Linked DNA regions of Sus scrofa. The protein of the gene in region 1 binds, or shares a complex with, the protein of each later gene. Links are inferred from orthologs where the notes say so. Each region holds a gene or a part of one and is shown on either strand. Other genes may lie near its edges.

The links.
Region 2: the proteins of KLHL3 (region 1) and WNK3 are in contact, whole or in part, in a crystal structure (PDB 5NKP), measured with the Homo sapiens proteins. The link is inferred for Sus scrofa from reciprocal best matches to the Homo sapiens genes KLHL3 and WNK3. Residues at the interface, in NP_059111.2 of Homo sapiens: Lys312, Arg339, Phe355, Gly357, Arg360, Thr386, Phe402, Gly404, Ser405, Gly407, Ser432, Ser433, Tyr449, Gly451, Arg454, Cys456, Ser481, His498, Arg528, Tyr577; in NP_065973.2 of Homo sapiens: Glu537, Cys538, Glu539, Glu540, Thr541, Glu542, Val543, Asp544, Gln545, His546.

Annotation. Positions count from the first base shown.
Region 1 is NC_010444.4:139,738,540-139,745,635, reverse strand, and holds the start of KLHL3 (kelch-like protein 3), read left to right. Parts: upstream 1-2,894; 5' UTR 2,895-2,936; coding exon 2,937-3,019; intron 3,020-7,096. UniProt on the Homo sapiens protein: Substrate-specific adapter of a BCR (BTB-CUL3-RBX1) E3 ubiquitin ligase complex that acts as a regulator of ion transport in the distal nephron.
Region 2 is NC_010461.5:46,927,784-46,934,280, reverse strand, and holds part of WNK3 (serine/threonine-protein kinase WNK3), read left to right. Parts: intron 1-3,095; coding exon 3,096-3,298; intron 3,299-6,497.

The DNA.
Region 1 (7,096 bases):
CTGTGTGGAGGGGGGTGTTTCTTGACAGGACTGCACCGCCACACCCTGAATCCCACTGCCTGGGTATCTTCAAGTGAAAGTTCCCTCATTAATCCAGATGCAGAAATATAAATTGGGTCATTTTGGCTTTGCACGTTAGGATTGAGAAGCATGGGAGATCTGCAGTTTGCCTTGCGCTCTTTCGGTTGAGAAATCCTCTCTTGTCAGTGCCCTGGTGCTGCCCAGACTCAGAGAAGCGGAGTCATGCTGGGAACTGCTCATGAGAACCTGAGGCACAGTAGTTGGAGTGTCATTTTATTTTTATTTTTATTTATTTGTTTGTCTTTTGTCTTTTCAGGGCCGCACCAGTGGCATATGGAGGTTCCCAGGCTAGGGGTTGAATTGGAGCTGCTGCTGCCGGCCTAAGCCACAGCCACAGCAATGCAGGATCCGAGCCACATCTGCGACCTACACCACAGCTCACGGCAACGCTGGATCCTTAACCCACTGAGCAAGGCCAGGGATCCAACATGCAACCTCATGGTTCCTAGTTGGATTCGTTTCTGCTGCACCACGATGGGATCTCTGAGTGTCACTTTATTAATTTGCAGTGAAAAGTATTACTGGCACGATGTTCCTGAGGGCCTGCCACCACTTTCATGCCTCCTTGAAGGAGAACCATGAGAGAGGCCAGCTTGATTAAAAGGCTGCATTGTGAGCGTGGTACCAAGTTAGGCCTTTGAGTATTTATAGGCTTCAAGTTCCACAACAGGCTCTGACCTGAGGCTGAACCAGATGACTGATGATTAAATCATTTTCATTTATAGATAGTGTGGGATGAGTAGGACCAAGGGTCTTCTCTGTCTGATTCTTGTTTTTCTTTCTTTTTCTTTTTTCTATTTCTTTTTTCTTTTTTTTCTTTCTTTTTTTTTTTTTTTTTGCTTTTTAGGGCCGCACTCTCCGCTAGGGGTCCAATTGGAGCTGTAGCTGCCGGCCTACACCACAGCTCACAGCAACGCTGGATCCTTAACCCACTGAGCGAGGCCAGGGATCGAACCTGCAACCTCATGGTTCCTGGTCGGGTTCGTTTCTGCTGTGCAATGATGGGAACTCCGATTCTTATTTTTCAATTTATTCTCCTAAGGGGCACTTTCTTTGCTGAGGGATTTTAATGCCTTTGGCATAGTCTTACTCTGATTCAGAGTTGTGTTACCCTCTTTAGGGGACTTTGCCTCTTTTTATTCTATCTCGTCTGTACCTTGAACACAGTGTGCTCGGGCTCTGTGTGTGTGTGGCCCACACCGCCTGAACTTTATTGCGTCTCTTGAAGACTTTTATCAGGGATGCAGTTCTTAACCGTCAGCAGTGTTTCTCAGGCTCCCCTTTCCTTTCCTCCCCACTCTCTCACACCCTGGATGCTCGGAACTCGTCATTTGGCAGATCTCACAAGCACTTCTGCACAATTGGATGTTCAGAGGTTTTTCTGTCTCCTATTTTGGTAACGAACTTTCTACTGTCCTTTCCTTTCCATTCAATGCCTGGATTTTCCTGAGTGATAGAAAAAGCCTGAGAACTGACACAGTAAGCAGCAACCCTTCCTACTTTCTTTCCTCTTCTCTAGCTGATTCTGGCTCTCTTTGCTTCCTCCCCACGTCTTCCTGATTCTCTGTCACCAGTGCAGGGAACTGGATGGGCTAAGGATCACCCCTGCCCCCAACACACACCTCCTGTGGGGAAGTCGAGAGAGATAAAACCAGAATTATTTTAACGAGGGAAGTGAGAGATGGAATAGTCATTAGTTATATCTCATTCATCCATCCATTCATTCACTCAGGAATCATTTATTGAGCACCCGTCATGTGCCAGAAGCTAAGAATACAGAGGGAAGTAAGACACCATCCTGGTTCTAATGGAGCTCAAAATCTAGGGTAGGCAGTGGTGTGCTGGATGGAGCCAGCACTCACCCACGTGCAAGAGCTGCTTGTTAAATTTTTAGGAATTTGTGAGTCAGTTATTAAGTATAGTCCTTATTAAAAATAAAATTAAGTAACTTACTAATAAATTACATTAAAAACAAATGTAATAAAAACTCAAAACTCATCAATTCCTAGTTATTTTACTGATGTCTATGCCCTTTAGATTATGTCTGTTGTACCTGTGTCGTGGAAATGCTTGCTGGTGATATAATACACATTTCCTCCCAACTCTGAGTGTTCGGTGACATCACGTTAGTGGCTCAGAGTCTGCTGTGGTGGCAGTATTTACACAAAGGAAATTGCGAAGTGTTACAAATCAGGACTCCCTTTTTTGCAACCAACCGTTAAACATTTACCAGCACACACTCTGTGGGGAAGACAGAGAAGTCAGTGGTAATTACAGTGTGATACAAAGGGAAGCACGGAGGAGGGAAGTTAATCCAGGGTCGTGGAGGACCATAGGGAAGACAGATCTTCAGCAAGAGGTCTGCAGGGCTGGTAGGAAGGAGCTAGACATGGGGCAGCAGCTGGGGATAGGACACAAGAGCCTGGAGTATGCAGGCATTTGTATCTAAGCTCTTCAGTAATGAGCACTCTTCAGGACAGTGATGAGATTATGAAGGGCCAGGACAGGTCTCTGAGATTTAGTCTGAATGCAGTTGAGGAACCAGTGAGAGGTTCCCCAGAGAATGTTTCCACGCGCACAGTGACAGTCTGTAAAGGTCATTCTGGAACCTGCAAGGCAGGTAGTGTAGAAATCCAGGTAAGAGATGACGACGCCTGGACTGAGGTCGTGTAGCAGTGGCCATGGGAAGGAGAAGGGGTGGAGAGATACTGGAGGCCCTGGGACGGATAGGACTTGTGGTCATATGTGAGGTGAGAGAGAAGGGTGAGATCCCAGTTTCTGCCTAGGATAGGTGAGTGGGTGGTTGGTTATGCCTCTGGGATAGGCTTTAGGGAGGGTGGGAGAGCATCAGTTGCATGTCAGTTTCCGTGAAAAGTCCAAGTGGTGGAGTTCAGACAGACACTGGGAATCTGGATCTGGACTTTGGAGACAGGAGAGGGTAGGAGAAAAGCTGTGGGAAGTGGTGTGCCATGAAAGAGGGCCTGCTGTTTAGAGTTTACATGTTTTAATTTACAGTTTTTACATAATTAACATTTTATGTGTATTGATTTTTAGTTTAACACTGAAGACCAACCCTTCTTTCATTTTTTTTTTTTAATCATTGGGGTTGAGGGTGCTGGTTGGGGGAGAACATCATACTCTGCTCTACTGTCTATCACATGTAAGGACAAGTGGAGGGTTTTCAGGTCCGATTGATTGATAACAAATATGTAGTGAAGAAACTGGGGTATTGCCCTATGCTGGGCAGCTGTATGAGAGTCCTCAGACGTGTAGCTTTTCCTCACCAGGAATGTCGAATCTAGCATGAAGGGGCTGTGTGGTGAAATAGGTGCTGTGAAAAGGTAACCAAACGCAGGTCAGTGTTCTATGTGCTGGTTGAGTTATAAGCCAGAAGTACTATAGCAGTTAGGGAAGGCAGGGATCACTTAGGACTGAAGTATTCAAAGGGCTTCATAGAAGAGGGATAACTTACCTGGTCCTGGAAGAACAGATATTTAGATTATGGTACAGGGGAAAAGAGGGGAAATCTATTTGCAGTGGATGGTTCATCTGCTCAGGGCATAATAAGTACTTAGTAAATATTTAGATTCAGTCCAGGTCAAGGATGGCTTTGACTTCTGGGCAAGAATCATGACTTTATCACATAGACTGATGCTCTTTCAGCTTTTTCACTACAGAGTCCTTTGAAAGGACATTTTACATAGCCATCCAGTATGGATGACTGTTTTTGTCTAATGCTATAGGAAAGAACAGGGATCCTGACTGGCCTGTACTTTCTTGCCATCTCTGTTGTTGGTGACCCATTTGAATCTTAAATCTGGTTCTACTAGAATGTTACTGAAACTCTGGTCCTCTGAGCACTGATGAAGGCTCCACTGGTCGGCCGCCAGAGCTTCAGCTGTGGGGAGAAGGGCATGTGTAAATTAATGTTGACTTTGGAGACCATTTGGTTGGTTTCATACTGCTTGCCAGATCATGACACTTTGAAGGCCACATCCCCTCAGCTGGGCTGAGTGAGAGTTCTTGGTGTGGCTTTAGTAGAGTGGGCTTGGAGCCAGGGAGGGGGTGCTTAGCTGGAGCATCTTTGTGCCTGGAGAAATCAACTATTTTGTGCTTCACGTAAGAGCATTTATTAATAAACACTTTTCAGCAGAAAACATGTTGTGGCTGTCTGCCTAGAGGTGTGTGTGTGTGTGTGTGTGTGTGTGTGTGTGTGTGTGTGTAAGCGAGTGAACGAGAGAGAGAGTCAACAAGGGGGCAGGAGAGGTAAGTTTTAGCTGGATCTGGGGAGGTTGGACAGAGATTGGGAATATACCTCAGTGTGGTTTGTGTTTTGCAGGTGGGGAGGTGGACGCACCAGTTTTGCCTGGGATCAAGAGCAAAATATATTAGGGATTGGGCTTTGATTGGGTGGGAGTGAGCTATGTGTTGGACACTAACTAGTTAAGATCTAGTGTCGGTGCGGGGAGAAAGGTTTAGGGAGAGAAAGGTGGAATCTGGCAACTCTGCCTGAACCTGTGATTCTAGGCTGGGGTGTGTGTGTGCGGGTACACATGTGTACACTTCACTGCTGCAGGGTGTAAGCTGTAGTGGAAATAGCTTGGGCTGCTTGGGTTTTAAGGGCACTTGAGCTCAGATGCTGTCTCTGCCACGTATTATCTGTGTGATCTTGTGCAAGGTTCTTAATTTCCTTGAGGCCTCAGACCCTCTTTTTCCTTAGCTTCCTGCTCTGTGGAAGGTCAACAAGTTGCCAAAGAAACTTCTACTTTTCAGAAACCAGGGATCCAGAACCTCCTTCAGACTTCTCATTATTTTCCCAGAGGGGCAGAGCAGGGGAAGCAAAGAGACCTTGGGTTCCTTCTCCTATCAAGCCTTGCCACTTCATCAAGGGTGGAAAGGACTTTGGATGGAATGACGCAACCATATATCCTTTTTCTTGCCAGCTCTGTGGTCATCAGCCAGTCACTCTTTGAGGGAGGCTTTCGTGTGAATTGCATTTGTTGAACTTTAATCCTGATAATAGGCAATCTATGTTTGAGGTCTTTTGGTAAACACAACTCTGTATTAACAGAGATGCATCATTATTGGGCCATCCGGAAGGCTGGAAAGTGCAAAGACCAACACAACAAAGAGGAGCAAACCTCCCAGTTAATAGTCACAGTGGAGATTGTTGTCACTGCTTCCAAAATGGCTTTATTTGGTCTACATCTAGTCTCTGCATGGAAAATGCAACTAGTAATGTCCACTGGACTTTTATGAGCTCTAATCTTATCAGTTCCCTGTCAAAACCCTTCAGTGGTTCCCTGATTGATACCAGATTATGTTTTCTCTTTTTTAAGTCTCTCTACAATTTGAAAACAACATTTATAATGAATATTTGTGCCGTGTTTTACAGTTTCTACATTTACTCCAGGAATGCATTTAGAGTTTAGTATTAGAAAATATATGTGTTGTATACAACATTAAAAGCTTTAAGGAAAAAATCCATATGGTCATCTCAATAGATTCACAAAAACATTTGAGAAAATTCAATGTAACTTTTTGATAAAAAATACAATGGAATTTTCTTAATTTGATAAAGGGCATCGACAAAATTCTAAAACAAACATGCACAATGGGGAACACTAGAAACGTATTTTTTAAAATCAGGAAGATGACAAAATATTCATTAGTGACTTTATATTCACAGTTGTGTGGCCATCCTAGCCAGTGCAAAATTTCTGTCAAAAAAGAAATTAGAACCCTAAGAATTGGAAAGGAGAAAAAAGGACTCTTGGCCGTATATGCAGGGAATGTGACTGCTTATGTAGAACACCTAGCTGAATCTTCAGAATCTTTGCTATAATAAAATAGAAACAAAAACTGTTCAGTACTTAAGAATAAATTTACTCAAATATATATAAGATCTTCATACATAAAAATATAAAAGTTTGAATGACATTAAAGAAGATCTAAATAAGTGGAGAGATATTCCATGTTCATGGATTAGAAGACAATAGAAAGATGCCAGTTCTATCCAAATTGCTCTATAAATTCAAAGTAATTTCTATCAGAAGCCTATCAGAGTCCTCATGGAGCTTGGAAGTTACTACTAAAATTTATATGACAGATGAAAAAACTGGAATAGCCAAGACACATCTGAAGCATGGTAATAGGATTGGGGATGTGCCCTACCAGACTTAGACCTTATTATGAAGCTGTAGAAATGGTGTGGTATTGGTAGAGAGTTGGATAACCTGACTAAATGGAGTAAGTAGGAAGTCCAGAAATAGTGCCCTTTATATTTGGAACTTTGATGTATGACTAAAGGTGGCATAACAGGTAAGTGGGAAAAAGAAGTATTCACTAAGTGGAACTTATGGGAGAAATAATATCCATGTTTCATATAGTGACATAAAAATCAATATCAGATAAAACTTAAATATCAAAAGCAAAACTGTTAAACTTTAAGTATAAAGTACAAATTTATATCTGTCTGGCCTGGAGTCGGGAAGGATGCCTAACTACAAAAGAAATTATACTTGTGGGGTTTTTAATATAAAGGTTTTCTATCTTTATTGGGTGCTCCCCCTCCTTGATAACATTCTCTGTTTTGAGATTTTCGTCTTCGATCTTTCTTGTCCTGTGATCAGCTACCTTCTTTGCACCCGGAATGCAAAGAGTCCCAAAGTTCAGGGGTCTGTGGCTTACATTTTCCTGCTGAACTGAAAGTGGAAAGGAAGCCAGAAAAGGTGTCTGCTTTGGTCAGCCAAGCTGTGGTCTGGCACTCTGATTGCACCAGAATGTTCTAATAGTTACAAATCCCAGTGTGAGATTTAGAGGGACTCTCGCATCTCCAGAACTTTCTCTTAACCATAGCAGCTCCTTTCTTGGAGCCAGTTTGCGTGGCTGGGTGATAGCATCAACAGAGGGCCACTAGAGGAAGGTAAAGAAAACCAGCGTCATTGTCTTAGAGTTAGAGTGAACGGTGGGTCCCCTGATCTCCACAAGTGGAGAATGTTCTGTTTTTCTACCA
Region 2 (6,497 bases), on another chromosome or scaffold:
CTTCTTTTATCTTTTTAGGGCCGCACCTATGGCATATAGAAGTTCCTAGGCTAGGGGTTGAGTCAGAGCTGCAGCTACTTGCCTACACCACAGCTCACAGCAATGCCGGATCCTTAACTCATTGAGTGAGGCCAGGGATCAAACCCACAACCTCATGGTTCCTAGTCAGATTCGTTTCTGCTGCGCCACAGTGGGAACTCCCTAACATACTTCTTTTATGTGCATTGGTTGGGTAATTGCTGGTTGTGAACTTTAATATGATATGAATAACTTTTAAAGTAACTCAATCAATAAATGTTCCTTCCAAGTGTAAAGTTAGGCACTGAATAGTTAGGCACTGAATAGCATTCAAGTAACATTTTTCCTTCTCATATGGCACATTGTTCTTGGTAACTTTTGGAAGGTATATATGTGTAGATCTTTCTGTTGCCTACTTAGGAGTAGTCTTGCCTCAGCCCCTGTTTCATTTAAATACTTATTTTGGTTAACAAAAACAAATACAGATACCGAGAGCAGAGTAGTGGTTACCAGAAGGGGAGGGTGAAATGGGTGAAGGGATCAACTGTATGGTGATGTGGTGGGCATGCTGTAGGGTGAAATAGAAATACAGTGTTGTACAGATCAAACATAATGTTATAGATCAGTGTTACCTCAATAAAAAACCCCAAATAAATAAATACTTGTTTTGGTTTGTTCATTATTTCTTCCTCCACTTGTTGGCTATTGTGCCACTAGTGCAGTAGCCAATCATTGGATTTCAGTTAAGGGCTCAAGATCACTTGTTCCACTAGATTTGTATACAAGAAAAAATCCTGACATTGGGTTTCCCATAGTGCAGAAGTGTTCTTAAATGAATGACATTCAAACTTAGCTCTATGTTAACAAGCTTTTTTTTTTTTTTTTTTTTTTTTTTTTTAGGAAACTAAAGGGAAATGAGCACAAAAACACTCTAAGATTAGCTGGGTGGGCAGAAATGCTGGCCCTAATATGTATATATTTCTGGCTCTCATCTCCTTTTTATTCATACAGCAAGTATGAACAGAGTAAGAACACAATCTATAAACACTTCAACTCCAAAGTCTTCCTCAACAGTGTTTGCTCACTGAAGTTGGAAGAAAATTAGATGAATGTGCAAGAGGGATAACAGGAAAAAAATGATACTTTTATTATAGACTGATCGTACGTCCTGGGGTTTTAAGTCTTAGAAAAGTAGGAATTCCAACAAGATTGGTATCTCATTTTGATATAACGTGGTAACCCTAAATCAGTAAAATTTATTTATTTATTTGCTTTTTTTTTTAGGGCCACACCCACGGCATATGGAGGTTCCCAGGCTAGGGGTCCAATCAGAGCTACAGCTGCCAGCCTACACCACAGCCACTGCAACACAGGATCCAAGCCACATCTGTGACATACATACATCACAGCTCATGGCAATGCCAGATCCTTAACCCACTGAGCGAGGCCAGGGATTGAACCCACAACCTCATGGTTCCTAGTGGGATTCGTTTCCACTGCACCATGATGGGAGCTCCCAGTAAGATTTATTTTTATAAAACTCTTTTGTATATGAGAATATGTCCCATTTAATTAATTAAACTCTTCTTATGCAATTTTCACTAGTATATTTCCATTTAATTTTTAATCTCCTTCAATCTAAACCTTCATTAGATCAGAAGTCATAGAGAACGACAGACTGTGTATAAATAAGCATTGAGATTATCATGTTCCTCCTTATTAAGCAGTTTTCTTATTTACTTTTCCCAGTTCATTGCATGGGTTGGCTGGTACAATAATCAGAATACCTGGGTTCTATAACCTCAGTTGTTTACCTTCTAGATTCCAGTCTCCCCATCACAAAAATAGAATACTTGCTGAACCTATATCACAAGTCTGTTATAAGTTTCAAAGAATAGAAAAGTGCTTTGAAAGTGTTAATATAGAGGTTTCTTGCATTATCTTTTACATTTTTCATGGTTTTCCACAATTAAAAAAAAAGTACCATAATGAAGAACCCATGTGGTTCAGTGACTTAAATATCTGGTGTTGTCACTGCAGTGGCTGAGGTTACTGCTGTGGTGTGGGTTTGATCCCTTACCTGGAACTTCGCATGCTTGACTACAGCCCCCAAAAAAGGTACCATAATAGTTGTACAAGAAATTTTCACATGCTTATTTAATTAAATCCCTGGCCATATTATTTTGCTTGTTTCACAACAGTTTCACAACTGTTTCCTAAAATTCATTTTAGACCCACTCTGTAAGTTTTGATTTATAAATCAGTGAGAGGAACTTATGAGTCTTTTCAATGAGAATGATTTATTAAGCATGTGTGATAAGTTCTAAATAATTTAAAGACTTAGTGTGGTGTTCAGATTAGGAAACTTTTCACTGATGGAGACATCTGTAATTGATTTTTTTCATCTATTTGGATATCTTGTGCTCCAGAACTAATGAAGCTCACAAACCATCTACCTCCTTGTTCTTGCTATTCTAGAAATACGTACTTTTTATCATTAATAAACAGAAATATCAGTTAAAAATTAAATGAGATTTTAGTTTTCTGAAGCTTGTTGAAACTCACTATGGTATATTGAAAAGAGAGCATTCTTATTTAGGCTTCAGAGCTCCAGGCCTGGTCCTGCTGGTAAGTAACTGTAGGAACTCAGGCGTGTCAGTTTACTTTCTCTGGGCCTCATTTCCCCATTATAAAACAAGTGATGTGGATTAGACTTCTGATGTTCTTTCCACTTTTAACTTTCTATAATTTTTTTAAAACTCTTCTAAGTATTTATCTGAGGAAATTTATGAAAAGCTTAGAGTTGATACTAATATTTTTGAGATACTATTTATTATATTTAACCTAAGGTGACTATATAATTTGACATCCAAACAAGAAGGAACTTTTGAGAGTGAAAGGGATTCTGTTAGTAATTATACCAGGACAGCAGCTTTAAATCGGAGCTATCCCAGATAAACTAGACTGTCTGGTTACCCTATCTGTACCCAATATGTAGTTCTGCATTACTAGCCATAAAAGAGTATTAATTTATCAATTTTAATTCATTTTCATGGTTTCTGTTTTTTTCCTTATAGATCCACCGTGTGTGGAAAGTAGTGCAGCATCATGCCAGCCATCTCCAGCTAGTAAAAAAGGGATGTTCACAGATGACTTACACAAACTGGTGGATGACTGGACAAAGGAAACAGTAGGAAATTCTCTTATTAAGCCAAGTTTAAACCAAATTAAACAGAGTCAACAGAAACTAGAGACAGACAACTGGAACAAAGTATATGAAGTAAGTTTTTTTATACCTGGTCCTATTTATTTATGAAAACTAAAACAATAAAAATTGATTCACTTAGGCCTGTGGATATAGTCACTGTGAGAGAGTGGTATGACTTGACAACATAGAGACATTTATCCTTGTATTGATTCATTATGTCTTTGAGAAAACTATCTTTTAGGCCAAGGGTCAGAAAACTTTTTCTAGGAAGGGGCCAGTTAGTAAATATTTCCAAGCTATGTGGTTGTAACTACTCAACGCTTCCAAAACAGCCATAGACAATACATAAAAGTGGGTGTGGCTTTGTTCCACTAAACCTTGGTTTGCAAAAAGAGATGGCAGGCCATAGATTGCTGATCCTTGTTTTATGCTATTATACCTTAAAAAAAAAAAAACCGTCAAGTTATCAAAAAAGAAAGCAAAGGGAGTGAGGATTAATTCAATCTTGTGGTGTAAGAACAGTTTGGACTTTGAGGAAAAGCTATCTTATGTTACTTGTACATCAGTATACCCAGAGCCCATAAGTAATCTTATGTATTCAGTATGAAAAAGAACTTTAAAGGTCTTTAAGCTAGAGCTTTATAGAAGATGTCTTAAGTTTATGGATGAAATATCTACTTAATTGTATATGGTCTTAGGTGTACATGCAGTTGAATGTACAAAGATGTCCACAGTGCATTCTGTAGTGGGAAGAATACAGGCTCATAGAATAGTATATATACTAATTATGTAAAATTATACACATTACATAGATATATATACATGAATATATGCATAGAAATAGGAAAAACCATTAAAATATGCTGGATGGTAGAATTTGGGCCTTAATTTTACTTTGTACTTTTCTGTTTTTGAATTTTTAAAGTAAGAATCATGTTTTCAAAATGAGTAAATCTAGGAGTTCCCTACTGGCTCAGCAGGTTAAAGATCCAGTATTGTCACTGTTGTGGCTTGGGTTGCAGCTGTGGCACAAGTTTGATTCCTGAACCGGGAATTTCCACGTGCTGTGGATATGGCAAAAAAAAAAAAAAAAAGAGTAAATTTACTAAAATGTGAGTCAGGGCTTAGAATTTGAATCCATGTAACTAAGAGATATATCTGAGTGTGTGTCTGTTATGTTTGTGTACACGTGTGTGTGTGTAGTCATTGCATGTAGAAAGTCTAAAAATACATTCAGTGTTAACATTGAATAAAAATTTTCAAAAGCCTAGATTTTCCAAACTAGCAAGTAGTATATCTGCTTGAGGACTCTGTGTATTTATATTATTCCTGGCACCGATTTATACACAGATAGTATCACCATTGTAAAAATTAGAAGCCTTTAGAGGTAAATTTCAAAGTACAAATGCGTTGGCGCTGCCAGTGAGAGATCCTCTGAATACTGTTTGAATGGAGGCCTTTGTTGACAAATAGGAGGGTGGTTTATTGCAGTATAATGAGGGATGTTTGGAGGAAGAGTGAATAGAAGATGGAGTATGAATAAAAGTGGTAAAGGTCGGAGTTCCCGTCATGGCGCAGTGGTTAACGAATCCGACTAGGAACCATGAGGTTGCGGGTTCGATCCCTGGCCTTGCTCAGTGGGTTAAGGATCCGGCGTTGCCATGAGCTGTGGTGTAGGTCGCAGACGCGGCTCGGATCCTGCGTTGCTGTGGCTCTGGCGTAGGCCGGTGGCTACAGTTCCCATTCGACCCCTAGCCTGGGAATCTCCATATGCCTTGGGAGCAGCCCTAGAAAAGGCAAAAAGACAAAAAAAAAAAAAAAGTGGTAAAGGTCTTTATATAGACTTGGGTTCCAGTGTCAACTCAGTCATTTACTAGTTGTGTGACTTTAGACAAGGCATTTGTGCCTCAGTTTTCATGTCTTTAAAATAGGGATAATACCTTCCTGTGTGGCATTGCTGTGAGGATTAAATAAGGTAACGTCTATGGAGTGCCTAGCACAAAGTAGTATCCTATTTATGCTATTTTTGTATTTTTAGGTTCAGTTGATTATATCTTTGTGTGGAGAGCTCATTGCACTATCTAATGTTCTTGCATGTTCTGTAGTCTTAGAAAGTTTTGTCACAATTATGTGCTAGGTCCTTTACTATGTGCCAAGCCCTATGTTAGGTACTGTGTTTGATTAGCAAAATTGAGTATGTTCTCTGTATAGGACTTATATTCTAGTGGGACAGTTAGATGTGAACAGACTTGTATAAGTAAATGTAAATTGCAGCTGTAATAAGGACTACAAATGAGAGATTATAGGATACTATACAGTAAGGTCAAGGAGTTCCTATTGTGGCACAGTGGGAAACAAATCTGTTTAGGAACCATGAGGTTGCAGGTTCAATCTCTGGCCTCACTCAGTGGGTTAAGGATCTGGCGTTGCTCTGAGTTGTGGTGTAGGCTGGCAGCTGTAGCTCTGATTAGACTCCCTAGCCTGGGAATATCCATATGCTGCCGGTGTGGCCCTAAAAAGCAAAAAAAAAGGGGGGGGGGGAAGTCAAGAAAAGCTTCCTTAAGAAGATGATGTTTGAGCAGAGATCTGAAGGATGAGTTAAGTGTTAACTATGTGAAAGGGGGCGGGAATATGATTCTAAACAGAAAGAATGGCATATGCAGAAGCCCCTTATGGGGAAAGGCACCGTGAAAGGACTGAAAGCAGGTCCACTAGCCCGAAATGAGGAAAGCAGAGAGGAGTTGCTATAGAGTGAATCTAACTAAGGAGATAGGTAGGGTCTTAAAAGTGATGATGATAAGGAACTTTGTCTTTATTTTAAGGGAGATGGATAGTCCTTGAAGCCCCAAAGTTGATATGATCAGATTTGCTTTTTGAAAAGGTCACTCTGGCTTAAAGTAAGAAGAAAGATTATTGAAGATAAGGGTAGATAATGGTAAACCTGTTAAGAGCTAGTCACAGTAGTCTCAATAAAGAGAAGTTGAACAACTTGATAAATCAACTATACTTCATTTGAAAGAGAGAGAGAGAAGTTGAGATGAAGAGAAGTGAATAGATCCCAAGAAATGTTTAAGGGATAAAAATGGACCAGATTTAGTAATAGAATTAATGTTTTGGCAGAGGGGATGTGTGAAGGCTAGGTTTCTGGCTGGTGTAACTGGCTGTCATTCCAGTAACCAATCATCACGATGGGGAACATAAGCAGGCAGTGTTATAAGCAGTCAGTGTGTGTTTTGGTAGGCGAAAGATCATATGCTTGTTTTTAGTCACT